Pelodiscus sinensis: one gene and its partners. Each later gene encodes a partner of the first gene's protein in a complex. Links are inferred from orthologs where the notes say so. Each region holds a gene or a part of one and is shown on either strand. Other genes may lie near its edges. The genes, in order: ARID1B, SMARCA4, SMARCE1 and SMARCC1.

Region 1 (7,412 bases):
CAACTTTGATGATGGCAAACAAGCAATCTATATAAACATAATCCAACAATGATCTGATATTGATTTGTAATTTATTGGATTTAATTTATCGGGGATGTGTATATTAGTCAAAACAAGCAGAGCTCTCAATATCTGGTTCTGTTTATTTAAATAAAGGATTCTTCCAGTCTCTTCATCAAAGTATGGATTATTTCAAAAAGGGAATAATAATACTTATGTATTATATTCACTTTACAAATAACACTTATTTTCATCTCATCCCGGTTGGATGCTTGAGGCAAATATAAAAGAAGAATACACCACCTCAACGCCTACCAAATAAACCTTCTTGACTATGGCACTCACCCTTCCAAGAGCCAAGGCAACCTGGCTGTATTTTTGCTGGATTTCACCATACTGTCTTCATCAGCAATACAACTAATTTGTTAAAAGGGTATCAAAGTTATCTGCTTGGTCTAAAAAAAAAAAAAAATTCTAATAGAGGGCAGTCAATGTTATTTTCCAGAATCTGACAGTGTAGTTACAAAAGCAACTCCTCCCTCCTCACCCAAACTGCTTTTCCTCGGGGCCTTCTATCTTCAAATCTGTTTCAAACTGGAGGAAAACTTTATACAGTTCAATTTTGTAAGCGAATAGTGCAATTCTGCACAGTGAAACCATTTGTCGGATGCCTCCAATCAATCGGACACTGTGTCTTACCAAACCCTGTTATGGAGGCAGCAAGTAGTTTATATGGCCGAGAGGAGGAAAAGTAAATTGGAGAGAAACTAAAGCACTAGACACACATTCAAAACATACAAGTGGGGAGTGTTTTGGGGTGAGGGGGTGTCTGGTGGTTTACCTGGGTTCTGCTGATGGTCTGACCAGTGCTTCCAGGGCTCATAGCTGGGTGAGCTCTTTGTTGTGCTGCTGCCCAGGCTGGGCTTGCAGCTCCATACTGGGAGCCCATGTCTTTGCCCATGCCCATGCCCGCTGCTGCCTGCTGGCTTCCCGGGACTGCCCCTGCTGCCTGGGCTTGCGGCTGCTGCTGTGGTGGGGCACTGGGGTTGCTGTAATCAGGGTAGCTGCTGCCATAGCTCCTCATCATGGGGCTGGGGGAAGTGAGCAGCTGGTTCAAGGTAGGGGTGGCTCCGGACGGGTGCTGGTTCTGCCCGGCAAATCTCTGGAAGCCTCCAGCCCCAGAACTCGCAGCAGCCTTGCCCAGGCTGGCCCCTCCGCCCGGGCCCATCATCATGCTGCTGCCCTGCTGCCGGGGGGAGCTCAGCACCCCGTAGCCAGAGGACGAGCCCCCATAGCCGCCTCCTCCTGCTGCTGCTGCCGCCGCTCCTCCCGCTGCGGCGGCGGCGCCGGGCCGGCCGTAGCCGGGGTAGTGGTTGTACTGGCTGTTGGGGTAACCCTCGTGGGAGTTTTGCAGGGGGTCCATGCTGTTGGGGGCCGCCGTGGGGTGCATCAGCCCCATCCCGGGGCTTTGTTGTCCGCCATGTTGATCAAAGCAAGGCCCGGCTCGGCTCGCTGTAGCGCTGCTGGCAGGGGCAGGGTTGCCGTAATAGCTATTAAACTCCGAGACACCCACGGCGGAGGGGCCGCCGCCTCCCCCGCTCCCGCTCCCGCCGCCGAGGCTGCTAGTGCCGCCGCCGCCGCTCCCAGCGCTCTGAGGCGGCTGCTGCTGCCCGCCCAAAGGTCCCAGGCTGGGGTGCTCGTAGCGGCCGCCGATCTGCTCGCCCATTTTGCCGGGCAGCTCTTCCTCCTCGCCCCCTTTATTCAGCATTTGCTGCGGCGGCGGCGGCGGAGGGGGCTCGGCCTGATTTCCCAAAACACCGTCTTTTCCTCCATGTTGCTGCTGCTCCATGTCTGCACTGGGCTGAGCAGCGCCGCCACCGCCGTTGTTGTTGTTGCTGCCGCCGCCGAGGCTGTTGTTATTCTGCATCGGATGGTGCTGAGGCGGCGGCGGCTGCTGGAATTGATTTAGCTGCTGCTGTAGTGCATGGTGGTGGTGGTGGTGGTGGTGGTGCGGGTGGTGGGCATGGTGGTGGTGGGCATGGTGATGCGGGTGGTGGGCATGGTGGTGGTGGGGAGGTGCGGCAGGGTGATCGCCTCCAACGTTTTTCAGTTTGTGGTTGGGGAGCAGCCCCGTCTCCATGGCCGAGCCCGGGTTAGAGGCGGAGGAAGAAGAAGATGAAGGTAACCCCGAGGAGCTTCCACCTTCTTTCAGAGCCGACTCCGAAGAGGAGCTACTGCTGCTGCCGCTGGTGCTGGCGTTGTTGTTGTTGTTATTACCGGTGGCAGCAGCAGCAGAAGTTGCATTATTGGCCATGTTCAGTTCATTATGGTGGTGGAGGAGATGGTGATCTACATTATTCAGGCTGCTGCTGCTGTTAGTCCCATCTCCGACCCCCAGCATGGAGCCCGCTCCGGGTCCCCCGGTGGCCGCGGCGGCTGCTCCCCCCGAGTTGAGATCCTGGCTCAAGTTGCCCGGCAAACTCGGGGTTTTGCCCTTGTTGTTCTTCGCACCCGCCGGAGCCGCTGCTACTTGCGCGGCCATGATCATTGCAACATTGCCAGTCCGAAAGCAAAAATCCAACACCCACCCTCAAAAATAAAATAAAAGCGAAACGGGGTGGGAGGGTGGGCAAAGGAGGGGAGAAGGGCAAAAAGAGAAAGGGGGGGGGACCAACTTATTTGAATAAACAGTAACCCCTCCTGATCACTCCACACACAAAAAATATATATAAAAATTCCCCTCCCCAAAGTCCGTGATTGAGATTAGAAACAGTAAGAATGTCTTACGGTCTGTGCCTGTTCCTGCTGTGTGATTTCATGTTGAAAGTTTTTTGTTCAGGTTTAAATGAAACTTTTTTTTCTTTTCCTCTCTAACCCGGATATGGGTAAATACACGTCTGACTGAGCCTATCTGGCCCAGCATGGCATGAGAGAGAGAGCGAGCTCTAACAACTATTATCCACTTCTCTCTGATTACTCCTGTACACTTGGAAAACGCGGACTGGACTTTCCCCTCCTCCTCCTGCAGCAGGTTTAGCGGTGGCAGTCAGAGAGAGACGCGCATTACAACCTTCAACAGCCCCGAACCAAGACAGCTGCTTCTGCTAATGCAAAAGGATGTACGCTCCCTTTTTGTATTTTGTGCCCGTCAAGCATCGTAGTAGTTAGAGATGGAAAAAATCTATCACTCAACTCCCTTGCAAATCTAGGTTATAGTCTTCCACAGAGAATGGAATATTAAACTGATTGCTACAAATGATCTTACCCAAAAAGGACAACTAAGCATCACTGGGTGGGTCAAATTCAGGCCTGGTGTAATTCAACTGAAGTAAAAGTTGTTACATCATGGATTAATTTGGCTTTCTGCCCATGTATTTTTGGGGTGAGAGCTGAAGGTGCTCATCATAACAGCTTAGTAGACAAAGAGAAAATCCAACACATTGTTGGCAATATATTTTATTGGATTAAAAAAAAAATTGGTCAAACTTTCAAAATCTTTTCTCTGTTTTTCAAGCCAGTAGGCAGTCTAAGGTTTTCTGATTTCAAGACACTAAAATGTATTGCCTACAAATTGTTTTATGGAAAAATAAAAATACTTGTAAAATGTTCAAATTAACACAAAATTCAGTAGTAATGGCATTTTTTAAATTATCTGTAGTGTCCAGCTGTTTCAAAGTTCTAATGATCATTTGTGCTAATGATGTTTTTAATATAAGCATTACGTATGGAGCTTTTTGGAACATGTTCTCGTATTTATATGCAGATTACAAGGCTCCCAAGGAAAGTCCTATAATTGTGTCCCGAAACAACATTATTTTCTAGTATATCTAAGACACTCATGAAAATGTAGTAATATAAAATACAATATATAATCAAAGCAACCATTACTCCTAATGACTTAGATTTATATAGCAGATTTCTCCAGCTATTGCTAGTTAATTTTTTAAAATAATTGTCTTAATATAAGTAAGAACTTGATCAGGAAAACGTAACAGTCAAACACCACATTCAGCTAATAAAAGTAGTTGGAAAATTAAATATTCTTCCATGGACACAAGTAAGACAGGATATTGATGGTATTTAGACAATTTAATAAGAATCTAAAATGTTATATGAAATAAATATTTTATTAAAATCTGTTAAATAGCATTTTCAGCTCACTAAATAGACTTTTTAATACTGACAGAACATAAAACATAACTTGTCATAAATGATGATGTAATGAGTAGGAAGTGGGATTTTTTTATTTCCACTGTGAAAACATTAAAGAACAGACTCTTCATGACAGCATGTTGATAAATGTATGAACAATGTGAGTTCAATGTCCATTGAATTTTCCAGCATGGTTCTACTTTGTAAAAGTCTCAACATTCAACTACATGTTGATATTAGTTCTATTTTAATTCTTTCTCTTTTTTTTTTGTTTATGTTTTTGCACTCTCTGTAAGTACAAAAATGCTAAATAGTTAATAGAAACTGATAGAGTAGAAAAAAAATCAGTGAATAATTCTAGTGGGGGGAATCAGGTGCGTTCCCAAGGGTCATTACAGTCTGTAACAACAACAAATTGCAGTTCTATGCAAACTGCTAGAAAAGGGGTATATCATCTTTGTAGAAGAGAGAGTAACAGAACTGTAAGATGAATTCATGCCAAATCATTCATCAGCTTTTGCCAAGAGAATACTACATCTTTGTTAGTGAGCTTTTTTGACATTTTCTCCTGGATTTTCTTCTTTTTTATATTCAAACACATACTAATTATACACATTAAACCACATAGGTTGATTTTTAAGGCTTTCATATGCAAATATAAATATAGATGTCTTCTTGTGCATATTTATTTATATGTATATTCTACAATAAAATATAAAATCAATTACACATTTATGCTTTTGGGCACTTATATTAAAGCAAAAATATAAGTATATATATATATATATATATATATTTACAAATCTGATAAGATGTATTGAAGGTAGCTCTTTTGAGGATTTCAATACTTTGACTCATTTCACTAGTTCTGAATAAAAAAAAAAAAGCCACGAAGTTTAATGCTGATTTACTTTTTAAATATTTTTCCTGGGGAAAATAATGAACCTCAAAAAATGAAAAGTTTATTCTTCTCGGTCTTTTTCATTACATTTGTTTTAACAACTCAGCTACAAGATTGGAATTAAGACTGTAAAATAGAGGCCCTCAACACAATGAAATCAGTCTGCTATAAAAGGCAACACATGCCAGTTTTTCCTCCCCAATGGCAGATGCCACACCCGAAAGCAGACAGAAGGCACTGCAGTCTGTGCAAGTGAAGCACAACACAAAGCAACTATGGTTCAGTTTTGTTTTTTAGATCACAAATAATGTTGAAATATCTTGTACCATCTTTGCTCAGTTGATGAGTGGTAGTGTATGTTCAATTCATATGATCCTTTCCAAAAGCTTTCTCTGTTGTACAAATTAAAAATATATATAGGCATATAATGTGAAAAGCTGTAATTGTCATGCGTGGTGTCTGTTACAAAATTATGAAATCTAATGCTTAATGCTACAAATACATGATTTGAATGTTATATTTCAACTGCATTTTTTATAAATGTATATTAATTAAACACAATTTCTCTTTCATATGCTTTGTAGTATGCTGGATGTTGATTTTTCTGATAAATTTAAAACTCCTTTATTTGGGATCCATTTCCAGGATTAACAATATATTTTTCTAAATTTACTGTTTATTGCACTATGACATCTATATAGATTCCCAAGACATCTCTGTATAGCTGGTCCAATATGAAAGCCCTACACATTTCACAGCACTAAAGCAGCTATCTTTTTGTTTGGTCAGAACAGTGGCTTCTGAATGTTATATAGAGTATAAGCCAATATTTTGACAATGCTATGGTCTTATTGTTAGAGAAGGTAGAGAAAATAACCATTTTGTTTTGGGGTTCTATATTTTTATAGTAAGGGTTAAAAATTAATGGCCCAACCAGAGTTTTACCACCTTGCCACTTTGTTGTGTCCTACCCAGTTAACCACTGTACTCTGCAACATTATTTTGCTTGAAGTCTCTGTTTGGATTTAACAGTTTGGTCTTCTAGTTAATTCCCCTACACATCTAGGTAACGCAGATCACAAATTCACCATATTTTCCCTATTCTAGTTATTATAGATTTGCAGTGATTTAAAGGGGGGGGGGACCATAAAAAACCAAGATTTAAATTTTCAGAATTATTAAATTAACACTTCTTTCACTGGTTAAAGGCCCTATCCAAATTATATTGAAATAAATGTATTGGTTTCACTAGGACAGCGATCAGATCCTAAACAAAACAAAAAACAAAAAGAGTTAAAATACACGTACACACATAAGTACAGAGTACTGTGCTTTGGTTTAGCTTTATGTGAATCTCAAGGTGAAGTCTGCATTGTAAGTCACAGAACAAATGCAATGAGACATCACTAATTTTTATTACCTATATTGATTTTATATATTATTAATTAATAGGATGTATGAACTATTACAATCGAGTAACGGACAATATGCAATAATCTGCTTAGGTAAAGTACAATATTTCATCCTATCTGATCTTAATATATTTTGAAGTACACAGTGTTTACCAAAAGCCTAATGTGTGAGAGTGACACATTTTGCCATTTGATTAAAATCCGTTTTTCAGATACCACTTATAATGGGGAGTTTAATCAATTTATTCTGGCTGTGCGTAACCAAAAGGCCTCCAGAACATTACTATCTTCTTTTCAATAAAATCATTCATTATTTCATTAGGGAATTATATGAACAATTGTTTTCCTGCAAGATTTAGGTCCAAAACAGTAAAATATTTAAACATGTGCTTAATTCTACACGTGAATAATCCCATTGAAATCACTAAGATTATTCACTTATTTCAAGTTAAGAGCTTGGTTAAAGTGGTTTGCTGAACTGAGGCTTTTTTAATGAATAGTTTTTGAAGCTCTGTACTTCAGTGAAACAGCATGAGCAATTTAAAAAAAAAACAAAACAGCTTTACACTTCGCACTAATGGAGGGCTGCCGAGTTCTCTCATTCTGAAATCTATGAACTTTGATAGAACACCCTAAGAATTTTGTTTCCTGTGCCATTGTTTGGAAACAACATTGTATTTCTTGGGAGTGTAAGAAAAAGCCATACATCCTGTCTTCAAAAGAATGGTAATTCATGGTCACATTATCTTTATCAGTGTTGTTTTTTGTTTTAAGTGAAAAATGTAGTTGCAGGTACTACAGCCCTCAAAATCCTCTTGTCATTTATTGTTTTCCATTTTTCCTTTACTTAACATTTCCTTTCTCCCCTTGTTGCTATGTAAGGGTGTGTCTTGACTACACGGTTTTTTCAAAAAAGTGGACTTTAAAAAAAACCAACTTTCCCTGCA
Region 2 (7,259 bases), on another chromosome or scaffold:
GAAGGTTTAAAACCTTTGAAAACCTTTTTAGCCCTGAACAATAAAATACAGACACATTCTCTTTCCTTGATGTTCATCCTTGAATTAAACAAAGGACAAGATCTTCAGAGGAGTCTGACACCCAAATCCCCACAGCTATGTGAAAATACCAGCTGCAAAGAATAAGGAAATATGCCACAGAAGTCTCACTTGGGGATGACCTGCTTCTTTCACTGACTCTGCTGTGATAAGCATGCTCCACTATGCTGAAAACCCAACCTGTGCAGAAAGGTAATCAAATATGCTACAAGACACTTAAAAGCCACTCATTTTAGATGATCTTAATGCAACTCATGAATTTTAAAAAACAGCTGCACAAATCCTTTAATTATATCTCCACTTCTGCTTCTCTTTAGATTCTGATATTTGAAAAAGGAAAATATAAATTATTTTAAACACAGAAAATTAACCGATTTTCTCCATTAACTTGCCTATCTCCTTTCATATTTTAATGGAAAGAAGATTAGCAAAGCAGTCACCGTGATCTGAACATGCTACATACCATTTATCTGTCATTACACAGAGGGACGAAAGCAAAAATGAATGCAAAACGCATGAAGATACAGTTTACCAATCAAAAAAAGTGAAAAACCTGAAGTAACCCTCCCTGCACATTTCAAATCTGTCACGCTCCTCTATCTCTGAAGGAGACATACAGCAAATTGGGTTACACTTTAAAATAAAGATGATGCCAAGATATTAGGGGCAATAAAACAATTATGAAGAACAGAAATTGAGATACTTAGGGTAATGTATCACTCAAAGATGGGAACAAGGGAAAATTTGTAAAAAATATTTAATATTATTTAGAACTAGGTATTATTAAATCTATAGTTAAAAGTCTCAGACTTCAACTATGCTTACATTTGGGTCAAGTTAACATACAGCAAAACCTCCATCATTTCAAAATATGTAGCATTTTGTAAATGTTTAATATTAAAAGATACTTTTTATATGAATGATCATCAGAAACACCACAAAAACAAGTGTGCAAGACAATGTTTAAGGAAAGTTGTTAAAAACCTATTACAGTTATACAAAATACAACAAAGAGCCTCTGCCTTAAAACAATAGACTACATTGTTAACTGATTTGTGACCATCAAAGGCAGCACAAATTTGCCCCAAAACAGGAGATGAAAGAGAACAGTTAAAACCCTCCATTAGAATATTGGGGCATCAGTAAATATTCCCTTTATTTCCAAATGATTTCTAATGAGAAGCTGTGTTACATAGAGACCCATTCATATTTAAATGTGCTTTGTGTGTCAGGAAACCATGGGGGATGCTCTGAGCAAGGGGGTGCTTATTAATAGGCTTTGAGAGCAAATCCTCTTTAAAACATCATCACCCACAAATTCATATCAATGAGCTGAGTGGAATTGAGGCAATTTTTTGCACCTCCTTTCCCCAATACATCTGACAGCGGGACTTTGCATGTGGAGCTGTCTGTGGTTATGTGCCTATTTGATGCAGCAGCTAATCCTGCTCCTTTCAACCTCCCCCCACCCCCAGCACATGAGAACCTTGGTATCTCTCCAGGAAGTCAGAGCCTGAGCAATGAAGTACTCCTAGGAGAGAGAATTTATAGACCATCCTGCAAGCACAAGTGATTGGCTTCTTCTTGTGGCTCTGTCCTGAGCAGGTGGAAAATCTGAACCTTTCCCATAATAAATATATGAATGTGTAGGGAATCCAGCCAGGATGTTGTAAGCCTGGGGGATCTAAGGCCAACCCCCTCAAATCACCAATTCTCCAAAGAAAGAGAAGGTGGAAGGAGGAGGGACCATAGCTCTTGAGAATAGAGTAGAGCAACTCCATGGGCTAGAGAAAAGAGATAGGAAAACACAATTCCTTGGGACTGGGCAGATGATGGTAGTGTGGGCAGGATCCACAAAATGAGGTACGGAAATGGGAGAGGGGGATATTGATGTGGGAACTAGTTTAAACAGGATAGAAGATACTTATGTTGAACAATAAGGAGGAAGCACCCCAGCCTAAAGAGGGAGATGCTGAGGAGTAAGGTAAGGACAGCTTTCTTGGGTGGAGTGGGATGATAGCAAGGTGGAAGCAAAGAGATTCTGGGAGAAAGGGGGCAGGAAAGAGGCTGATTAGCAAGGGGGGGGCACAACCCCTTGGTGGGGAAGTATTCTGGGAAGAAAAGAGAGGGCTGTTAATGAATTGGGGTGACTGGAAGGGTTGATGCTAAAGGATAAGGGCAGCATGTTTGAGGAGGGGCAGATGCTGATGGAGGGCCAGAGCCCCAGAACGGATGGAAACGCAAACAGGGTGCAGTACATCAGGGATGGCGTGCTCATGAAAGGAGAGGTGCTCATGGGGGCAAGTACACCAGAAATGAGATGATCACGGGGGGGGGGGGCACTGCCATCCCCTATCACCCCCCGATCCCAGGGGCATCATCTGAGCATCACCCCTCCCACATTGCCCCCCCATCCCTGGGAGGTGGGGGAAGAGGGATGCTCAGGGAGAACACTGCCCCAGGGATGGGGGCATGATGGGGCCAGTTCTCCAGAGACTGGGGGGGTGAGATACCCAGGAGGGCCAGTGATCCAGGGGTGGGGGCGGGTGAGGGGGAGCTGTGCCCCGGGGAGGGGGGCCGCGATGGGGCCAGGGCCCCGGGGATGGGGGAGGGGCGAGGGGGGAGCTGTGCCCCGGGGATGGGGGAGGGGCGCTGCTCGGGGGGGCACAGCCCACGGGGGGGGCAGGGAGGACGCTGGAAGGGTCCCCGCGCGGGGGGGCGGCCGAGCTCTCGCGCAGGGAACGTCGCGGAGGCCTCTTGACCCTGCCGGGCCGCCGTAGCCCCTCAGCCCCCCCCGCCCTTCCATTCAATGGGGCGCCGGCCCCCCCTCCCCGCGCTCACCGTGCCCGCCCCTCGCGGGGCCGCTCGCGGGCTCCATCCCCGCCGGGTCGCGTCGCGGCGGGACAAAGGAGCCGCCGCTACTGTGCGAGCGTGAGGGAGACGCGGCTCGAGCTCCCCCTAGCGCGCGCCCCCGCGGGAGGCAGCAGCAGCAGCAGCGCGCGCGCTCCCGATCCGGCTCCAGCGCGCGCGCGGGGCGGCAGCCTGGGCCAATGGGAAGGCCCCGGTGGGGCTCGCGCGCCACCGCCCGCCCCCTCCCGACCCTGCCTCGCCTTGGCGTTCGCGTCTGCGTGCCACAGCCAATCAGGGGCGTTCGCGCTCCGCCCCTCCCTCGGGCAAGGTGGGCGGCGCGCCAAGCGCCCTCCTCCACTGGGAGCACAGCTGACACGCGCCTCGACCAATGGTGTGAGAACGAGCCAAGCTAACCCCGCCCACCTTGGCGGCGCTGCAACCAATGGGCAAGTACCTCTGGCTGGTCCCTCCCCTGCCTGCGGCCGAGAGTCGTCGCGATCAGCCAATGGGAGCTAAGGAAAGCGGCTCGCGCTCACGCCTTCCAGCCTGCCGCAGCCAATGAAGCAGGGAGAAGGAAGCGTTCGAGCGGTCGTGGGCGGGGATAAGGGGGAGGGGGCGAGCTGCGTCCGCGCGTCCTTGTGGCGCGCGCTGGCGATGCGAGCCGCCTCCTCCTCCCAACCGGCTGGAAACCGCCGCCGCGGCCACGCATGCGCATTGCGGGCGCCACTGCGGCGAAGGGGAGGGAACTTCGAAGGCGGAGGGGATGGGCAGGGGAAAATGAGGGGAGGGGAGGGGCTCAGGAAGGGGGCTCAGGAGGGGGAGGGGGTTGAGGGGAGGGGCTCAGGAGGGGGGTTCAGGAGGGGGAGGGGCTCAGGAGGGGGACGGGGTTGAGGGGAGGGGCTCAGTAAGGGGGCTCAGGAGGGGGAGGGGGTTGAGGGGAGGGGCTCAGGAGGGGGGTTCAGGAGGGGGAGGGGCTCAGGAGGGGGGTTCAGGAGGGGGAGGGGCTCAGGAGGGGGAGGGGCTCAGGAGGGGGACGGGGTTGAGGGGAGGGGCTCAGTAAGGGGGCTCAGGAGGGGGAGGGGGTTGAGGGAGGGGCTCAGGAAGGGGGCTCAGGAGGGGGAGGGGGTTGAGGGGAGGGGCTCAGGAAGGGGGCTCAGGAGGGGGAGGGGGTTGAGGGGAGGGGCTCAGGAAGGGGGCTCAGGAGGGGGAGGGGGTTGAGGGGAGGGGCTCAGGAAGGGGGCTCAGGAGGGGGAGGGGGTTGAGGGGAGGGGCTCAGGAAGGGGGCTCAGGAGGGGGAGGGGGTTGAGGGGAGGGGGTTGAGGGGAGGGGCTCAGGAGGGGGAGGGGGTTGAGGGGAGGGGCTCAGGAGGGGGGTTCAGGAGGGGGAGGGGGTTGAGGGGAGGGGCTCAGGAAGGGGGCTCAGGAGGGGGAGGGGGTTGAGGGGAGGGGCTCAGGAAGGGGGTTCTGGAGGGGGAGGGGGTTGAGGGGAGGGGCTCAGGAGGGGGAGGGGGTTGAGGGGAGGGGCTCAGTAAGGGGGTTCAGGAGGGGGAGGGGGTTGAGGGGAGGGGCTCAGGAAGAAGGGGGGCTCAGGGAGCCCTTAAGGGGAGAGAGCTCAGAAGGGGAAGGGCTGAGGAGGGGGGCCATAGGAGGGGAAAGGGGGTTCAGGGGGAAAGGAGAATAAGGGGCTGATGGGCAGGGAAAGCTGAGGGCACAGGAAAGGGAGGGTCTGGGGGAGGAGGAAGGGGGCTCAGGAGGTGGGGGAGGAGAATGGGGGGCTGATGGGCAGGGAAAGCTAAGGGGGCTCATGAGGAAGAGGGGACAGTGGCCAAGGAATGATGGAGGAAGCCGGTGGGATGGGGGCTGAATGCTGATAGGAAGGGCATGATGAGACAGGAGCTGGCGGTTCTCCTGGGGCAGGCACTGGCAATGTAGGCTAGTGAGTGGGCCACACAAGTGGGCTGCAAGATTGTTTAACCAAGATGGTCTCCCAGCACTTTTGCTAACTGCGTACCTAGAATTTAGGAGGTGTGCCGAATGAACCGCAGCAGCGCTTGGATTGGATGATTGGATGTTCATAGCGCTCACTGTCAATGTTATGTGCAATCAGCATGCACCTTATCTCGCCCTTGCTTTAAATGTGCGACTTTGGTCATCCCAATAGAGAAAAAAACTATGCCGGCAGAATCTGGCAACCTTGCACATGAGCAACACCAAACACAATGTCCTAGGGGCCACACATAGAGCCCTGATGGGCTGCATATGACCCACAGGCTGCCCATCACTGTCAGGTCTCTCATGCAGTCTGGAGGAAAAAGGGGTTTTCTTCTATGTCTACACTGCAGGCTTTTTGTGCAAGAAGTTTTTGTCGGAAGACAGTGTAGGCTTCTTGCGCAAGACAGTGTCCACACTGCAAAAGTGCATCAAAAAAGCAATGCACTTTTGCGAAAGAGAGCGTCCAGACTGCCTGGATGCTCTCTTGCAAGTAAGCAGTGATTGCTATGGACAGGATTGCCACCAGGGCACCTGTGCTTTTTCCTCCTCCCTTTTCTTGTGCAAAAAAGCCCTCTTTCCCGTCCACGTACACCTTTTTGCGCTACAGCTCTTGTGCAATAAGGCATTCTTCCTCATAGAATGAGGATTACCAGTTGTGCAAAAACCCCTCTGATCTTTCGATTTACTTGCACAAAAAAGCACTTGAAGTGTGCACGCTCTGTGAGTTTTTGCGGAAAAACAGCTGTTTTTCTGCAAAATCTCTGTAGTGTAGACATAGCGGCTACGTCTAGACTGGCCCCTTCTCCGGAAGAGGCATGCAAAGCAGGGAAGTCAGAATACTTGCAAGTAGGAATAAGAGATCCTCCTGAAAAGGGCTTTATTCCGGAGGATCGCGCCAGTCTAGACGCTCTTTTCCGGCTTTTCCCCAAGCTGGAAAAAAAGCGGCGGCCATGTTTATTTAAATCCCGCGAGGGATATTTAAATCCCCTGCGGATTTCCCTATTCTGACTTGCCTGCTTTGCATGCCTCTTCCGGAGAAGGGGCCAGTCTAGATGTAGCCAGCCTGTGTCAATAAGCCATCATGTTCAGTGAAGCAAGTTTAGTGGTGTTGATGGAAGGGGCCCGGCGGGAGACCATCTAGCAGGAATGGGATGAATGAAGCAATGAGAACTTTAGGACGAAACTCTTGGAGCGTTCCCTGGGAAGGAAATGTGGTGGGCTGTGGAATGATCCCTTGAGGAATTATGGAAGCTCTATTGTTTGGGATTGGACCAAATCTTTGAAAAGAGACCTTTTAAGGAGAGATCTTGGATAAGAATGGGCATACTGGGTCAGATCAATGGCCCTTCGAATCCAGTATCCTGTCTTCAAACAGCGCCAGTACCAGATGCTTCAGAAGGAATGAACAAAACTGGGCAGTTATCAAGTGAAATGAACAGTAGAACAGATGGATTAGATAATCTAACAGATCTTTGCCAGCATTAACATCTGGGATTCTCTTGATCTGTCCCATTCTTTTTCAGTATGAAAAATGCCATAGTGATGCCTTGTCTCTTCCCTTTCCAGTCATCCACTCGTTATTTGCAGCATCCTGTGAGAGGGGCTATCTCAGCACACTAAGTAATGTGACAGTCAAAAAACGGTGTGTCCTCGCCTAAAAAATCCGGTGGCCTTCTGCAGACCCTCTCTTCCAAGGCTCTCAAAGCACTTTATAAATATACACTAAGCAGCCCCACATTTTGCAAGGTACATAGGAATGCTTCCAACTACATCTGGGGCAGAATGTAGCCTCTGTTTAGCAACATGCCAAAATTCCACATAATAGTTTAGGGCAGGACATAAGAAACCCTATATATATATATATATATAGTTGAAACCTCAGGGGAATTTAGATCTGCATAATGGGCCAGAAGACGTAAACATGGCCAGTGTTGGTGGCCGGCTTCTAAACTGTAGGAGTCATCTAAATGTAGTCTTTGCCGCAACGTGGCACTTATTTAGAGGAGAAATCCAACTATTGCCCTATCCTGACACTGTTAGTATGCGAGAGCTAAGAGTCAGAGGAAATAGTGGTACCTCCAAAGGGGTTAGATCCTTCATGTCAACAAATTTCTCAGTGGAAATGTGATCAGTGGAGTAAGTTGCATGTGCCGGTGACAAAATAGAGACAGTTTCCCTCTCCCACAAAATCTAGGCCTATCTTCTCTGTTACAGTTAACATATGGTGTTGGGGGCTAGTTGTGGCCCCTGATTCTCTGCCCAGCCCCAAGGGGCTCCTGTAACCTATACTAGCTGACACCTGGAAGCTGAGCACCATGAAAAATCTGTCCCCTGAGCTCA
Region 3 (7,381 bases), on another chromosome or scaffold:
TCAAAAAGCTCAATACTGAGGGACTACATGATTTGGGATTGAGCTACTGCCATCTGACAAAAGTAGAATGACCTTTGAGAACTTAAGTTTTATTGTCCCATAGGTCATTCTGCATCCTACCATTTCCTAGTAGAAGATGCAGAAATCTCAGCAGTTAAACCAAAGATTAAGGGCTACATATTGCCACCTTTATTTATAAAATCAAAGGACTACTTATATAGCAAGATGCTAGTCAACCACCACACAAAGCCCTGGTCTACATTAGAGAGTTATTTTAAAATAACCCCCCTTATTTTGAAATAAACAAAGGATCCACACTACCAAGTTCAAAATAACAGGCTGGTCATTACAAAATCTATATTCCTGCTTTCCCTGGGGAATAACACATATTTCAAAATAGTTATTTTGAAAGAGCATCCACACTAACAGTACACTGCTACTATTTCAAAATAACTACTTCCCAGACTAATTCAAAGTAATTATTCCCCAGTCCTTTCTGGGGCTCTAAGTCAAGGAAGCATGTCCACAATAATGGAGCCTGCCTCAGACTAATGTCGAGGCTCCCCCCATAGTGGGGACATGCTCTTTTGATTTTATTTTGGGTGTTATTTCTAATTTAGTTATTTCAAAATGATTTCCTAGTGTAGACATGCCCTAAGGGTGGCAGAGTCTGACCTTAAACAAATATGGAAAAGAAATTTAATTATCTTCTCATGATCTGTCTCTCCAGATCATGATACAGGCACTTTGTTGGCACAATACGGTGAAGTTTGTATTGTTGTTGCCTGTATTTTATATATTTCCTTATGAATAAATAGAGTACTGTCATGCACCTCTTCATACATATAATGAAAGAGCAGAAATCAACACAACTTTGCTAATCAGTGGAACACATACAATAGGTTTGGCATGTCAGCATGAAAAATGAAATATAAGAACACACACCACACCCGTACATTAAATATCTGAGTTAGATGCATAAATCCTGTTTTAGATTTTATCTTTCCTTTTAATTTTCTATGCATACAAAATAATTATTTTTCTTGGCAGATCTATAATACATGAAGTACAGAAAACTTTCATACTGTAATTAACATGATACTTTGTGTGTGCCAATAGGACTTCAAAATATCCACCACTAACATACAATGCTATAAGCAGGATTAGGAGGGAAAACTTTTGAGACTGCTTGACAGTTACTGCCTTGTCAATAAGTACAACATAGATCATGAATCCCTGAAACTTCCTCTTGTGTGAAACCTTCCACCTTAGCTTTCACAAATTATTTGAGAACCGTATAAAAAAAATATAACTAAAATTTGCACATTTGAAAAGAGAAGTAGTCAATAGCTGGTAGAAGAACTGAATTCCTGCCAAATTACTTCAAACGAGACTCCATATTGTAAACACTTTCCAGGATTGGACCTACGGACTCTTACAGAGCAGTCATATCACCCATTCAGACTAAGGAAAAAAAATCTTAAAGTCTGTGGGAGTTTTACTGAATTAAGGGTTGAATGTTATGTTGTACTTTAAGTATCAAAGTGTTTACATTTAAGCCATCAATGGATAAATATGCTACTGTTTCACTGCTGAAAACATGTCATGATATTTTTCAATTAACATGTCTGAGGAGACAAGGTAGGTGCAGTAATGTCTTTCATTGGAAAAACTTGTTTGGGGAAGAGTGTGTAGCTCGACCGCTTTTCTCTCTCATTGAAGCTGGTGCATAAAAAGATATTACCTCACCCATATTGTCTCACTAATATCCTGGGATAAATTCACAACAAGAACTCTGCATATACCTACAAATGCAGGATCTTGGGGAAGAAGGTGTCCTTTCATCACTTTGAATGTAGCTATTTTCTGGTAAAATAATGCAGAAGGTACATTCCCTCTTCTAGCAACTGCAGAGTAAATCTATTTCCAGAAAGAAAAATACAAGACCTAAATTACAATAAAGGGCATGTGGGAAGAAAGTGGTATCGATTCACCCACAACCCAGTGACTGTTCACTCCAGTGGAGCTATTCTCATTGTTAAGTGCTCAATCATATAAAGATTGCACAGTTGTGACCAGCATATACAAAAACCAATGAGAAATATTTCAAAAACATAGACTCATATGACTGTATCTAAGAGCATTTTAGCATTTTCATATTATCAAAATCACGTTATACTAGATTGGAGAGAAAAGAGTGGTGTAATGGTGTGAGACCAAGAAGGAAAGCAAGAATTAATGGACCCTACTTTCACCTCTACTACCTGCACTCTTCTCCAGAAACTCCTTAACTAACAGCAGGTAAAAACTTGAGTGAAATGGTATTTTGCCAATATAAAAACAATATTCTCACCTTTTTCACATAAATTTTCTGATGATGTATAATGGTGGTTTAAAAAGAAGTTCATAAAAATATGTATTTTGGTTCCCTTTGTTTTTTGTAGCCAAATGCAAGTTATGGATTTATCCCTTGTACTTGAGCAAGGGATAAATTGTGAGCCAATGTGGACCTTGACCTTCTATTTATTTGAAAAAGTGACAGATCTTCAGTGACCAACATCTGATTAGACAAACTCTGAATGTCCCAGAGAAAACACTGGCCCTTATTTCTAAAGACAAGTATTTAAGAGAACCATGTCCAGCAATGCCTCACCCTGGGCGGAGGGCAATCCATAGGATTTATGGGACTCTACGCTGTATGATTAAATTGATGTCCCTAAGCCTGATGGGGCAGCTGGGTGGATGGGGAAGACAATTTTTTAGAATTGTGCTTTTATAACCTTCAGCAAAATGCTAACAACATATTTTTAAAACAATTTTAAACTAGTCCTGTAAGTTTCTGAATGGACAACATATACCTGGAGTTTACAAATGTCTGTTAAATGACTTCATTACCAGTTGAATGGCTCTTTCGCAGGTTCAGGGTTCTGCTAATAGCTCTGGCAGGCTTTTTTCACCAGATCCTCTCCAGAGGAAGCCACAAACCAAGGAAAGGAAGAAGCAGATGTATGGACAGTCACATTAAGACCCAGTGGTTCCTCAAATTTTCAAGTGTCCTATGCAGGGTATGGATATGGGTATGGATAACTCTTCCTCAATATCTCTATTTAAATAGCTGAGTGCAGCCTTTAGTGGGGCATGCATAGGGTTATAAAATAACCATCTGATGCAGCTTCTCATATTATTGCAAAAGCGACGAGGAGTCCTGTGGCACCTAACACGGCTACCCCTCTGATACTTCATATTATTGCAATAAACATACATGTGGTGCAGGGACACCTCAGATAACTATGTGGGTAGAGACGCTTCCTCCTATATCAGTAACTATGCCAAGGCACATTATGTTGCAATTACAGTTGCCAGATGGTTTTGGAAAAAATACCAAATATCCCCCCTCCCCCAAAATATCCCAGGCCAGGAAAAAGTTTGTTGGGGGGGGGGGGGGGGGGGGAAGTGGTCCCTTTAAAAAAAATGCATGCTGAGGCTTTTTGGCACTAACAGGCTGCAGGTGGGCGTCCACCATCTTGCCTCCCTGCACTGGGCCAGACTGAGCACTGGGGCTGCCGGGCTGCCTCCATATTGAGCCAGACAGTCTGGGATTTTCACCTCCTAGCTAGGAAAATAGGGGCCATTTTAAGTGACGGGTATTTTCTGAATTTTTTTTACCACACAGGAGATGAAAATACAGACAGTCCGTTTCAATACCAGACCCCTGGCAACCCTACGCATGGCCGTCCCTGGGGCCGGGACACCTGGTTTTTAAAGGGGCAGCTGTAGCCTAGGCACCCGTGTGTTATAACCAGGAGGCTGCAACCGAGGCCTGCATAGCAGAGAGGTGCGACCTGCATCAGCTGGTTCCTTAGAAGCCAAGGCGGAGAGCTGACAGGAGGCGCAGCGCGAGTCGGCGGCCGGCCACCGCCTCTCCTCAAGCGACGGCTTGACAGGCTGGGGGGCGCGAGACTAACGGTCGCGAGAGGGGGAAAAGGCGCCAAAACAGTGGCGCGTGTCCTCCGAGGCGCGAGAACGAACCTAAAGGCCGCGAGAACACAACGCTCCAAACCCCACCCCCACCCCGGGAGCTGCGGCGCGTCACGGGGTCGCGAGTCCCTTGCGCGCCTCCTAGCGCGCCATGCGGGTCACCTGACGTGGCGCCGCTCGTCACGTCAAGCGGTCTAGCCAAGCTGTTGTGCCTCTTGGCTTTCTCGTTCGGCTCCGCAGATTCGCCACAGAGCAACCCTCCTTTCCCTGCCCTGACGGGAGACGATAAAAATTCCCTGGGTGTTGCGGGAGGGAGCCTGGCCAGGAATAAGCCAGGGGAGGGAGTGAAAAAGCGGGGGAGCTGGGGACTCCGTGTGGAATGTGCTGAGGCGGAAGGGCGGGCGGCTTCCCCCGAGTCGCTGCTGCCCACTCAGGAGCGCGCTGTTGGCTGAGAACAAAGGGGGCCCAGGCCGGTGCTGGAGCGGGTGAGTGTCTGAGGCGATGGGCGCTGCGTGAGTGGGCCCGGCACCGGCCCCGCGAAAAAGAGACCGTGGGAGAGTGGGGGGAGGGCAGTGGGAGAGCGATGCCCCCCCCGCGTCCACGCCCATGGGCGGAGGAGTAGCCAGCCCCCGCCCCCCACGCACCTCGCAGGGAGAGGGAGAGACACACGATGCCCCCCCCCCGCCTCCCCTACATGCGCTTCGCGGGGGGGAGGGGGGAGAGAGTGGTGCCCACGGACACCCCATGGGCAGGGGGTAGCCAGCTCACTCCGTGCAGGGAGAGCAGAGAGACAGCGGTGCCCAAGGGAGGGGGATAGCCAGCCCCCTTCTGGTGCTTTGAAGTGGGGAGGGCAGTAGCTCGTCCCCTCCATGCATCCTTGCAGGGAGAGGAGAGAGACAGTCATGCCCAGAGCAGGGGGAGTAGCCAGCCCCCTCCTTGCACCTTGCAGGGGAGGAGGGCCATAGCTAGCCCAATGGTTTTCACAGCTGGATCAGGGACTGGCCTAGGTAAACTGCTGTGGGGCCCACAATGCTTTGTTTATCTAAGGGTGTGTCTAGACTATAGGGTTCTGTCGACGAAAGTAGACTTTTGTCCACAAAATTATACCTGCGTCTACACTGCCGCTGAGTTCTGTCAACATAGCGCCGACAGGACTCAGCAGTTTTCTCAACAGCTGTAAACTTCATTCTACGAGGAATAACACCTTTTGTCGACAGAGTTCTGTCAACAGAAGGCATTATTGCATCTACATTGTCCTGTGTGTCTACACTGTCATGTTGACAAAGCGGCTGGCTTTGTCGACAGAACTGGATGTAGTCTAGACACTCTTTGTCGACAGAAGCTTTGTCGACAGTATCTGTTGACAAAAGCCTGTAGTCTGGACGTACCCTAAGTGTCCATAACTACAGAGCCTCACAGCTCCTCTTGGCTGAAAATGGCAAACTGCAGCCAGTGGGAGCTGCTTACACATAAATAAACAAAGCATGGGGGGAGAGGAGCCTGCCTCTGGGTTATGACCCAATTTTGAAAATCACTGAGCTAACCACCCCCCATGCACCTTGCAGGAGAAGAGAGGTAGCTAGTCCCCCTCTTCATGCACCTCACAAGGAGAAGGGAATGGTTCCCTTTCCCCCTCCTTCCACCTTGAAGGGAGAATAGGCTGTCAGCAATAACGAAGGAAGCAATTATTTCTTGCCCCGTTCCCAAAAATGGTAGCGAAGAAGGCAGGTACTATCCTCCCTTAAGCAAGTACACCTGCTGTAGTGACTGGTACCATGTCTGCATTTGTCATGCCGGAGATCAATCTTTTGGTATTCAATTTAGTGGGTCTAGTTAAGACCTTCAAAATGAAACTCAGGGCGGCTCTGGTTGGTGCCAGTACTCCTAGCAGTCGTGACAAGTAAAGGAAGTAGACTGGACTCCCTCTGTGAACACTGTACCAAGGTCCACTTAGGGTAAGCCAACTCCAGCAACGTATTTTACGTACCTGGAGTTGCATACCTTAACTCAACCTTCCAGGTATAATGTTTTCAAAGGTACCCTTACTGATTGGAGTAAAACTCTCAAGGTGTAAAACCCTGTGTTCAGAAGTGACATGGCTGTGTTTTTATCACCTACGTGCTTAGTATGTGCCTCATCTTAAAAAAAAAGTTGTAAAATTAGTATGTTACATATTATGTTTGTATATTTTGTATATTCCTTCCCATTCACCCCAAAATTGGATGAATAATGAGATCTTTCTGTTGTTCTCAAGCCAGGCCTCCATTTAAAATTGACCTACTGAAGCATTCTTTTCATTTAACCTTGTTGGAATCTCAACTGAGAGCATAACTTCTTTCGTAAGAGTTATCCAGTGTCGCCTACATTCCAGACCATCCATAGACCTTGGGCATGGAAATGTACGTGCCTAAGTACTTTATTATGTGTGGAAATAATCACGGGTTCAGCATTGAAACCTGTGCCTATAGTAGTGTTAATATTTGATGCCATAGACATTATTTATGTCAGATGATGAGCATTTACAGGATTGGGACCAATTTTGCTCTCTCAAATCCAATAAACTGTGGAAAAACATTGGAAATGCTTATCTTGTGTCTACATGAAGTAGTAGTACAGATTATAGGGCTATGATTTCTAAAGCATACAAATGTTAGCTGGTGTGTGCTACAAGTTCCCTTGTGTGCTTTAACATGGTGTTGTTTTAAACAGTACTGTGCTACATTAAAGCACATTAGCGAACTTTATACAGATTATTTATATTACAGGCTATACAATGAGCCCCTCAAAAACCTCATTGGACATATACATATAGCAAAATTGCTAAAAAATAAACCCCATAAAATGAAATTAATAAATTCTGAAAAACAGAAGCTCTAATTATGTTCTTTGTTTTAACAGTTCATGAAAACAGAAAGTGTTGTATTTAACAGTCTGACACTGTGTTCTCTTTTTTGTTTTTCAGAATTTGAGATATAATGTCAGCTGGCTGAAAATTTATCTGCCAAAATGTCAAGTAAGTTTGTATTTTTTTTAAATGTAAGACGTCTGTTCGGTGGCACTTACTTTCATGAATAACATTGCTGTTACATGGGAAAGGGCTACTACACCACGAAAATTATAAGAGGAATATTATCAGGTACAGTAATTATAAGTGAACTACCAATCAGTTAGTACTAAATATTACAGCAGTTCATAGCCAACATTGTGCACTGAGGATTTCTTTTAAGTGTCCAAAAGGTGAAAGGAACATGCAAGCATCCTACCTGCCAAGCTGCATAATTGTACTTTAGCCACTTTATCACTCTTAAGGCTAGAATAGTCTGAGCCATTTGGATACATCCTCCACAGCGGAAGAAGATTCATCCCATCATATCTACCTCTCTGGCATGTGTAGATCGCCAGT
Region 4 (8,106 bases), on another chromosome or scaffold:
TGACTATAAGTTTCCTTGTTCATCAAAATGGAAACAGTTTTTCTTTCAGTTTTTAAACAGACTCTTACCTCTTTTATAGAGCCACTAACCAAGGACAATAAGAACTTGCCTGGAAAAGATTCCCAACAACTTTGCAGAATCTAAATTTTCATGTAAGAAAATCATTAAGTATCTGGCCATTATGGTTAAAATTACCTTCACATATAATCAATGCATTACTGTCTTAAGCCTGCACAATGATGGATCCAATGCCTCTCCTGATGTGAGTCTTAAACTATAGCAGAGTGAAAAACATTCTTGCTAGTTTCCATAGCTGCAATCTAGAATCTTATGTACAACAGTGAAATTAAAAAGAACTGAGTTAATATCAACTTTGATAGTTGCTTGTGTAAAGTTCTGAACAGCAAGGGGGCAGGCACAAATTGGATAACTGAGGATGGAGGACTCAAACTAAGGCTATTATAAGTGGGTGGATAAATAATCTTCTCTCACAATAGCTAGGGACTCTGATCTGGAAATCTTGGAGAACTGAGTGAGAGAATGCTCCTTTCTTCCAGGACCCAGAAATCCTGGAGGAACCTCACACTTAATTCCCTTTCCCAGCAGCTTGGGTGAAGGATGGAGAAATATGTGATTGCTTATTTGGGCTACATCCTAGATAATATTCCTCAACACTCATCTGGGACTTTGGCTAGAAGGCCTCTGGTGCTAAGAATTTGGTAAAACTTCAATGGCCCGCATGAAATGTGGCACAGAAAGAGAGAGAAGCTGATGGGATAGAACTAGAGAAATACAATATGGAGAGAACTTAAAAAAAAAAAGCCCAAGTAGACCTGTGGCACCTTAGAGATGAACAAAAGGTGCTACAGGTCTACTTGTTCTTAAAAGTTGTTTCAAGTTACTAACTACATGGTACCCCTCTGCAACTTTTAATATAGAGAGAAGTAAAAAGAAAATAAGATAGAGAATGAAATGAATGGAAAAACATGGGGTGAAAAAAGAGACACTGGAAAAGATAATGCAAGGACAAGTTAAAACTTTACATGCTATTATAGACAAAGACCTGGAGTAAGAAAGGAAAAGGGAAAAGCATAACAAAACCAAGAGACATAATTAAGCGTTTAAAACTTTATTTAAAAAGAATCTGATTAGCATGTTTAAATTACATTTTAGCAGGCATTTGCAAATGTTTTTATTTAAATTGCAGGAGTTTGACTTTACAAAAATACTAGCCACAAAGATATATAATCAAAAAGCTATACTGGCATTACAAATCAGTTTAAAAACAATTTTGTTAAACCAGAGCAAAATCCTGTGTAGACAATTTTATTTTGGTTTCAAAGATTCCATAAGGAATCTGCTTCACCCAAATCAATATTAGTCACTCAAAATAAAATAAAGCTACACAGGGGGGTTGCTCTGGTTTAAATACACTGACTTAAACACCATTAGTCAAACCAGCAGAAGTCTGAATGCAAATGAAGCCACATTCCTCACAAAAGTGATCACTGAGCAAACTTTTCAGTTCTTGTTCTTTTAGATTTAGGAAACAGAGCCCTGAACCCCATAAGATTATAGAAAAGAAGGATGATCCAGACTGTTAGAGTATTAGCCAGGAAACCTGGGTTCAGTTCCCTACTCTATCACAGACTCTCTGCAAGGCCTTGGGCAAGTGATTCTGAGTCAATCCTCATCTGTAAAATGGGTTAACAGCACCTCACCTCCTCCTCCCATAGGAGTGTATGAAGATATTCGGATACTACAGTCACTTAGGCCGCACAAGCACCTAAACTCAAACGCATCAGCAATGCAGGTTTTTTTTTTTTTTAAAGGGGGCAACTTAACCCCCCCCCCCCCGTTTCTCGCCAGTGTGTGACGACGCTCGGCACAACCGCCCCTCGTTGGGCTGGGGCCCCGCGAGTGCCCGGTGACAGGCCAGCCCGCGGCGCACGTGCCCACAGCTGCGCGCACACACCGCGGCGAAGACCCAGATGCGGGGGGGGGGCGGGGGGGCTCGCCCTGAAGTCGCGCAACCGGCTCGAACTGATTTTGGAGACTTCCAGTCCGGGGGGGGGGGGGGGGGGGGGGGGAAGGGTCGGAGCCGCGCAGCCTGGGAAACGGCCCCGTTACCCGGGACCCGCCCGTTGGCCGGTAAGCCGCCCCCCCCCCCCCCCCGCAAAGGAGCGCCTGGCCCTTTGTGACCGCTCCCGGCCTAGCTGGGGCGCCCCGCCGCCCCTTCCTGGAGCGCTTCCCTCGGGTTGCCCCCCTCAGCGCCTCGCGGGCCGGGCCGCCCCTTCCTCACCCCCTAACCCCATTCCTCTGGCGCTTCCCCACGGGCCGCCCCGCCCCTCAGCGCCCCAGTCCCCGCGGGCCGGGCCGCCCCTTCCTCACCCCCCCCCCCATTCCTCTGGCGCTTCCCCACGGGCCGCCCCGCCCCGCGCCCCTCAGCGCCCCAGTCCCCGCGGGCCGGGCCGCCCCTTCCTCCACCCCCCCCCATTCTTCTGGCGCTTCCCCGCCCCCCTCAGCGCCCCACGGGCCGCCCTCAGCGCCCCGCCCCCCAGCGCCCCAGTCCCCGCGGGCCGGGCCGCCCCTTCCTCCACCCCCCCCCATTCCTCTGGCGCTTCCCCGCCCCCTCAGCGCCCCAGTCCCCGCGGGCCGGGCCGCCCCTTCCTCACCCCCTAACCCCATTCCTCTGGCGCTTCCCCGCCCCCCTCAGCGCCCCCTGCCCCGCCCCCCAGCGCCCCAGTCCCCGCGGGCCGGGCCGCCCCTTCCTCTACCCCCCCATTCCTCTGGCGCTTCCCCGCCCCCCTCAGCGCCCCACGGGCCGCCCCGCCCCCCAGCGCCCCAGTCCCCGCGGCCGGGCCGCACCTTCTTGTAGTGCTTCCCCAGCCAGACCCGCACCGCGTCCAGCTGGGACACCGTCTCCGGGCTCTCCCAGAACTTGCCCGTGGGGCCGCCGTCCTTCCGCCGCGCCACGGACAGCGCCGCCAGCCCCGCCGCCGCGCCGGGGCCGGGCCCGCCGCCTGCCGTCACTGCCGCTGCCATTGTTACCCTCGCCGAGCGCCGCCACCGCGGCCCTGCGCCTCCCACTCGCCTCCCGCCGCGCATGCGCCGAGCCCCGCACGCTCCGCCCCTTGGAGCATGCTCGGGAACCCCGCTCCCTGCCCCCGCCACCGCTGTGCACGCGCCGGTTCTCCCCGGGCGCCACCGCTCCTGCGTCGGCACCCTGGGCCGCGCTCAACGCACGCGCCACACGAGCCCGCTAGCTCTGCGCATGCGCCAGACTCCCACTTTTCTCTTCGCTCGTGAGGTCCAGGCAGACCGCACGCCCCTCCCCCCAACCCTGCTGTGCACGCATGCGTCAAATCTCAACCGCCCGGCACGGGCCGCACCGCACTAAGTCTGTACGCATGCGCTTAGTGGGCCAAGCCGCTCGTGCCGCGCTTTGCGCATGCGGCGCGTGGACGCTGGTGGGGAGAGTGTGGCTTGAATTTCCATGGCCGGGGGGGGGGCTGCCAGCCTCGTTGTCGCTTCGCCGCCCAGCGTCTCTTCCAGCCGTCGCTGCGCCTGCGCTCGTGCCCGCAGTGGCTCCCGCGTCGCTTTTCCCGCCTCGCGAGGGCGCGCGACGCCCGCCTGGCGCTGCGTTCCGCTCTCCTCAGAGGCCGCCCGCGCGCGCCAGCCACGGCGTCGGCTCCGACCGCAGGCCGCTCGCTCCTGTGCTGAGAGCGCCGCAAGGTTGTTATCCTGGCCAGGAAGCGGGGGGGGGGGGGGGGGGGGGGGGGGGGCTGCTGGGTTCTAGGCCTGGCCCAGACTCGTCTGTCCCTCACGCTCCCTGTCCTGACCGCTCCCCTAATCCCAGCCTCCCTGCCCAACCCTCTCTGCTCAGGGCGGGGCCCTGCTCTCCCCCACCACGGGGGGGGGTCCTGACCCTGCACCCCCACCCACGGCCAGATGTGACTCCCAGCCAGCTGGTACAGTACAAGGGTTTATTGATTGTCAGGAACGTAGCACAGGCTCGATGTTACCACCGGCATGGAGGGCAAACAGCCTTTTTCCTCGGGGGGAGGGGGGGGTCCTGGGCCCTGCACCCCCCTTCCCTGCTGTAAGCCCCCACACTCATCCTAGCCCAGCTGAGGCTGACCCAACTCCCAGGCCTAGTTCCCAGCCTGGTGTCAGCCCCCACCGATGTCCTTAAGAGTTGTTATCTTCCGAGTCTGGCTCCCCAGGTGTCTGGGCCCAATACACATCTGGAGTGAGCCCTGGGAATCACACCTAACCAATGCAGCCCAGCAGAAACAGAGGATGACAAAAGTAGACAGCGCCCCCACTAGGTCACACCCAACCAGGCTGAATCATCTCTGCTCAGGTCAGAGTCCTGCTCTCCCTCCCCTCCCCCCCCCCCATGGTTCCTCTCTGGACTGACTCTCCTCCACTGCTGGTGTCCAGTTTCATTGAGTGTAAGGCAGTGGTCCCCAAACTCCATGGCATGACCCTTTAAGGGGGCCCAGAGGAACTTTGCAGGTGGGACAGTGCTCAGGGAGCACCACCCAGCCTGGCCCTCTGCTCCACTCCCACTCTGTTCCCAGCCAGTCCTTAGCTGTGGCTCCAACTGCAGCACCCACCACCCTCCTGGCCACAGCTCAAAGGGAATAATGGACCAAGGAAGGGAGCATGACCAAAAAACATTTGGGAATTGTTGCTCTGAGGTCAGATGGGATTATTGTGATCATTCTACTCTGATCCTCCTGCAGGCCATGGATTCTTAACCACCCACTGGTGTGCTTGCTGGCTGAGCTACTGACGTCCTTAAAGTATAGTTTAAAGATTTCAAGTTACAGAGAATCCATCAGTTATGCTAGTTTAAACCTGCAAGTGACCCATGCTGTATGCTGTAGACTACAGTGTAGAGGAAGGCAAAAACCACCAAACTTGCTCCAATCTGACCCAGGGAAATATTCCTTCCTGACCCCAAATACAGTGATCAGTTTGCCTCTGAGAATGTGGGCAAGATCCACCAGGCAGCTATCTGGGAAAGAACTCTTTGTAGTAACTTGTGGCTTGTCTATCATCATCATCAACCATGGGCTCAGTGCCTGTTGATGTGCGATGCCTCCTTCACTATTTCCTTCCATCTTTCCCTGTCCAGTGCAAAGTGGCTTAGTTTCTGTAGACTAGCTCCACCGCAATCTACTATATCATCTACTCATTGTCTGTGGGGTCTGCTTCTCCTATTCAGACCATCCATTATGCCGAATACTAGGGTCTTAACTTTTCACTCGTTCATTCTCATCATTCATTCTACATTTAGCTTGTCTATAGTTGCTGCTAAATTGGCACTGCTGTGATTGATGCCAGATTTGATGTCAGTTCAGCAGATTTGGTGAAAACAAACTAAGTCAATAAAAGAGCACTCCCCTTGACTTCTGTACTTCATTTCCCTGAGAGGCAGAAGGCAAGTTGGCCCCCAGTTGTCTTTTTCAAATACAGGCAGTCCCCGGGTTACGTACAAGATAGGGACTGTAGGTTTGTTCTTAAGTTGAATCTGTATGTAAGTCGGAACTGGTGTCCAGATTCAGCCGCTGCTGAAACTGACCGCCAGTTCTGACTTACATACAGAATCAATTTAAGAACCCCAAGCGTCCCCAAGTTAGCTGCTGCTGAAACTGATCAGCAGCTGATTCCAGGAAGCCTGGGGCAGAGCAACTCTGCCTCAGGCTTCCTGTAGTCAGCGCTGGTCAGTTTCAGCAGAAGCTGACTTGGGGACGCCTGGGGCAGAGCAGCTGGGGTGCTGCTGGGTTGCTCCAGTAGCGCCGCTCCTCGGCACTACTGGAGCAACCCAGCAGCACCCCATCTGCTCTGCCCCAGGTGTCCTGATTCAGCCGCTGCTGAAACTGACCAGCAGCGGCTGAATCAGGACCAGAGCAGCTGGGGTGCTGCTGGGTTGCACCAGTAGCACCCAGAGCGGCGCTGCGGGACCAACCGGCAGCACCCCAGCTGCTCTGCCACAGGCGTCCGGAGAAAAGCCTAGTCTGCTGGGGGGGGGGGGGGGGGCGTACTAGCTGCGCCCCCCCCACCCCAGCAGACCAGGAAGACTCGGGCGGCGGACCGAGATGCTGCGCGTCCCGCCGCCTGGGTCCTCCGCGGCTTTGCTCCCCGTCTCCCTGGTCTGCTGGAGACCAGCAGACCAGGGAGACGGGGAGCGCCTCTGAGGACGCCGGCAGCGGAGCAGCCCAGGCGCGCCTGGGATGCCCCGCTGCCCGAGGCGCCCCCCCCCCCCCCGCGGCTTTGCAAAGCGCGGGGAAGCTGGCGGCGGGGCAGTCCAGGCGCGCCTGGGGTGCCTCGCTGCCCGAGCCCCCCCCCCCGCGGCTTTGCAAAGCCGCGGGGGGGCTCGGGCAGCGAGGCAACCCAGGCGCGCCTGGACTGCCCCGCCGCCGGCTTCCCCGCGGCTTTGCAAAGCCGCGGGGGGGGGGGGGGGGGGCTCCGGCAGCGAGGCACCCCAGGCGTGCCTGGACTGCCCCTCCGCCGGCTTCCCCGCGCTTTGCAAAGCCGCGCGGGTGGGGGGGGGGGGCCTCGGGCAGCGGGGCTGCCCCGCTGCCCGAGCCCCTCCGCGGCTTTGCTCTGCGTCTTCCTGGTCTGCAGACCAGGGAGACGCAGAGCAAAGCCCCAGAGTACACGGGCGGCAGGACCGCGAGGTCCCGCAGTCTGTGTACTCTGGGGCAGCCCCGTTCGTAACTGCGGATCCGACATAAGTCGGATCCGCGTAAGTCGGGGACTGCCTGTACCACTGAAGCTTTTGATTCCAATAGCTTCCCATATGAAGAGAGGTTAAAGCGACTGGGACTTTTCAGTTTAGAAAAGAGGAGACTAAGGGGGATATGATGGAGGTATATAAAATCATGAGTGGTGTGGAGAGGGTAAATAAAGAAAAGTTATTTATTAGTTCCCATAATAGAAGAACTAGAGGACACCAAATGAAATTAATAGTTAGCAAGTTTAAAACTAATAAAAGAAAGTTCTTCACACAGTGTGTAGTCAACCTGTGGAACTCCTTGCCAGAGGAGGCTGTGAAGGCTAGGACTATAACAGAGTTTTAAGAGAAGCTAGATAATTTCATGGAGGTTAGGTTCATAAAAGGCTATTACCCAGGGGATAGAAATGGTGTCCCTGGCCTCTGTTTGTCAGAGGCTGGAGAAGGATGGCAGGAGACAAATCACTTGATTAGTGTCTTCGGTCCACTCCCTCTGGGCCACTGTCGGCAGACAGGCTACTGAGCTAGATGGACCTTCGGTCTGACCCAGTACGGCCGTTCTTATGTTCTTATGTATGTTCTTATGTAATAGCTTGTCTTTTAGTCCTTACCTAAACTACAATAAACTTTAGAGTTATGGACACAAGAGTTACGAGCTGACTAGTTAATCTCATGCATCATTTGGAATTGGAAGTATACAAACAGGCAGCAGTACAGACCAAAAAAATCCAAATACAGTACAGTACCGTGTGAAATGTGAACTATTAAAAAATAAAGAGGGAAAGTTTAAAAGGAAAGATTTGGCAATGTAAGGAAACTGCGTGTTTCATTTAAATTAAGATAAAAGCATTTTTCTTCTGCATATTGAAGTTTCAAAGCTGTATTAAGTCAATGCTCAGTTGTAAACTTTTGAAAGAAAAACCATCAGGTTTTGTTCAGTTACGAACATTTCAGAGTTACGAACAACCTCCGTTCCTAAGCTGTTTATAATTCTTGGGTTCTACTGTTAGGTTGGACATTAGGAAAAAGTTCTTAACTGTCAGGGTGGTTAAACACTGGAATAAATTGCCTAGGGAGGTTGTGGAATCTCCTTCTCTGGAGATATTTAAGAGTAGGTTAGATAAATGTCTGTCAGGGATGGTAGACAATACTGGGTCCTGCCATGAGGGCAGGGGACTGGACTCGATGACCGCTCGAGCTCCCTTTCAGTCCTAGTATTCTATGATTCTATACTATACTCTGGTCTTTGAATAGTAGCATAGGGGGAAGAAACTGTAGTCACTAGCATATGTTATTTCCTCTACTGTGGTTGCCTAAGCACAATGATGGGAATAGTAAGTGACATGCATGAGAGGTGG

The links.
Region 2: ARID1B (region 1) and SMARCA4 share a complex: the UniProt entries of both Homo sapiens proteins name them as parts of the neuron-specific chromatin remodeling complex. The link is inferred for Pelodiscus sinensis from reciprocal best matches to the Homo sapiens genes ARID1B and SMARCA4.
Region 3: ARID1B (region 1) and SMARCE1 share a complex: the UniProt entries of both Homo sapiens proteins name them as parts of the neuron-specific chromatin remodeling complex. The link is inferred for Pelodiscus sinensis from reciprocal best matches to the Homo sapiens genes ARID1B and SMARCE1.
Region 4: ARID1B (region 1) and SMARCC1 share a complex: the UniProt entries of both Homo sapiens proteins name them as parts of the neuron-specific chromatin remodeling complex. The link is inferred for Pelodiscus sinensis from reciprocal best matches to the Homo sapiens genes ARID1B and SMARCC1.

What each region holds. Positions count from the first base shown.
Region 1 is NC_134713.1:111,317,282-111,324,693, reverse strand, and holds the start of ARID1B (AT-rich interactive domain-containing protein 1B), read right to left. Parts: upstream 3,104-7,412; 5' UTR 2,549-3,103; coding exon 842-2,548; intron 1-841. UniProt on the Homo sapiens protein: Involved in transcriptional activation and repression of select genes by chromatin remodeling (alteration of DNA-nucleosome topology).
Region 2 is NW_027465894.1:294,453-301,711, reverse strand, and holds the start of SMARCA4 (SWI/SNF-related matrix-associated actin-dependent regulator of chromatin subfamily A member 4), read right to left. Parts: upstream 3,091-7,259; 5' UTR 2,920-3,090; intron 1-2,919. UniProt on the Homo sapiens protein: ATPase involved in transcriptional activation and repression of select genes by chromatin remodeling (alteration of DNA-nucleosome topology).
Region 3 is NC_134739.1:10,452,671-10,460,051, forward strand, and holds the start of SMARCE1 (SWI/SNF-related matrix-associated actin-dependent regulator of chromatin subfamily E member 1), read left to right. Parts: upstream 1-4,257; 5' UTR 4,258-4,463; intron 4,464-6,236; 5' UTR 6,237-6,377; intron 6,378-6,940; 5' UTR 6,941-6,984; coding exon 6,985-6,991; intron 6,992-7,381. UniProt on the Homo sapiens protein: Involved in transcriptional activation and repression of select genes by chromatin remodeling (alteration of DNA-nucleosome topology).
Region 4 is NC_134712.1:256,776,431-256,784,536, forward strand, and holds the start of SMARCC1 (SWI/SNF complex subunit SMARCC1), read right to left. Parts: upstream 3,125-8,106; 5' UTR 3,109-3,124; coding exon 2,869-3,108; intron 1-2,868. UniProt on the Homo sapiens protein: Involved in transcriptional activation and repression of select genes by chromatin remodeling (alteration of DNA-nucleosome topology).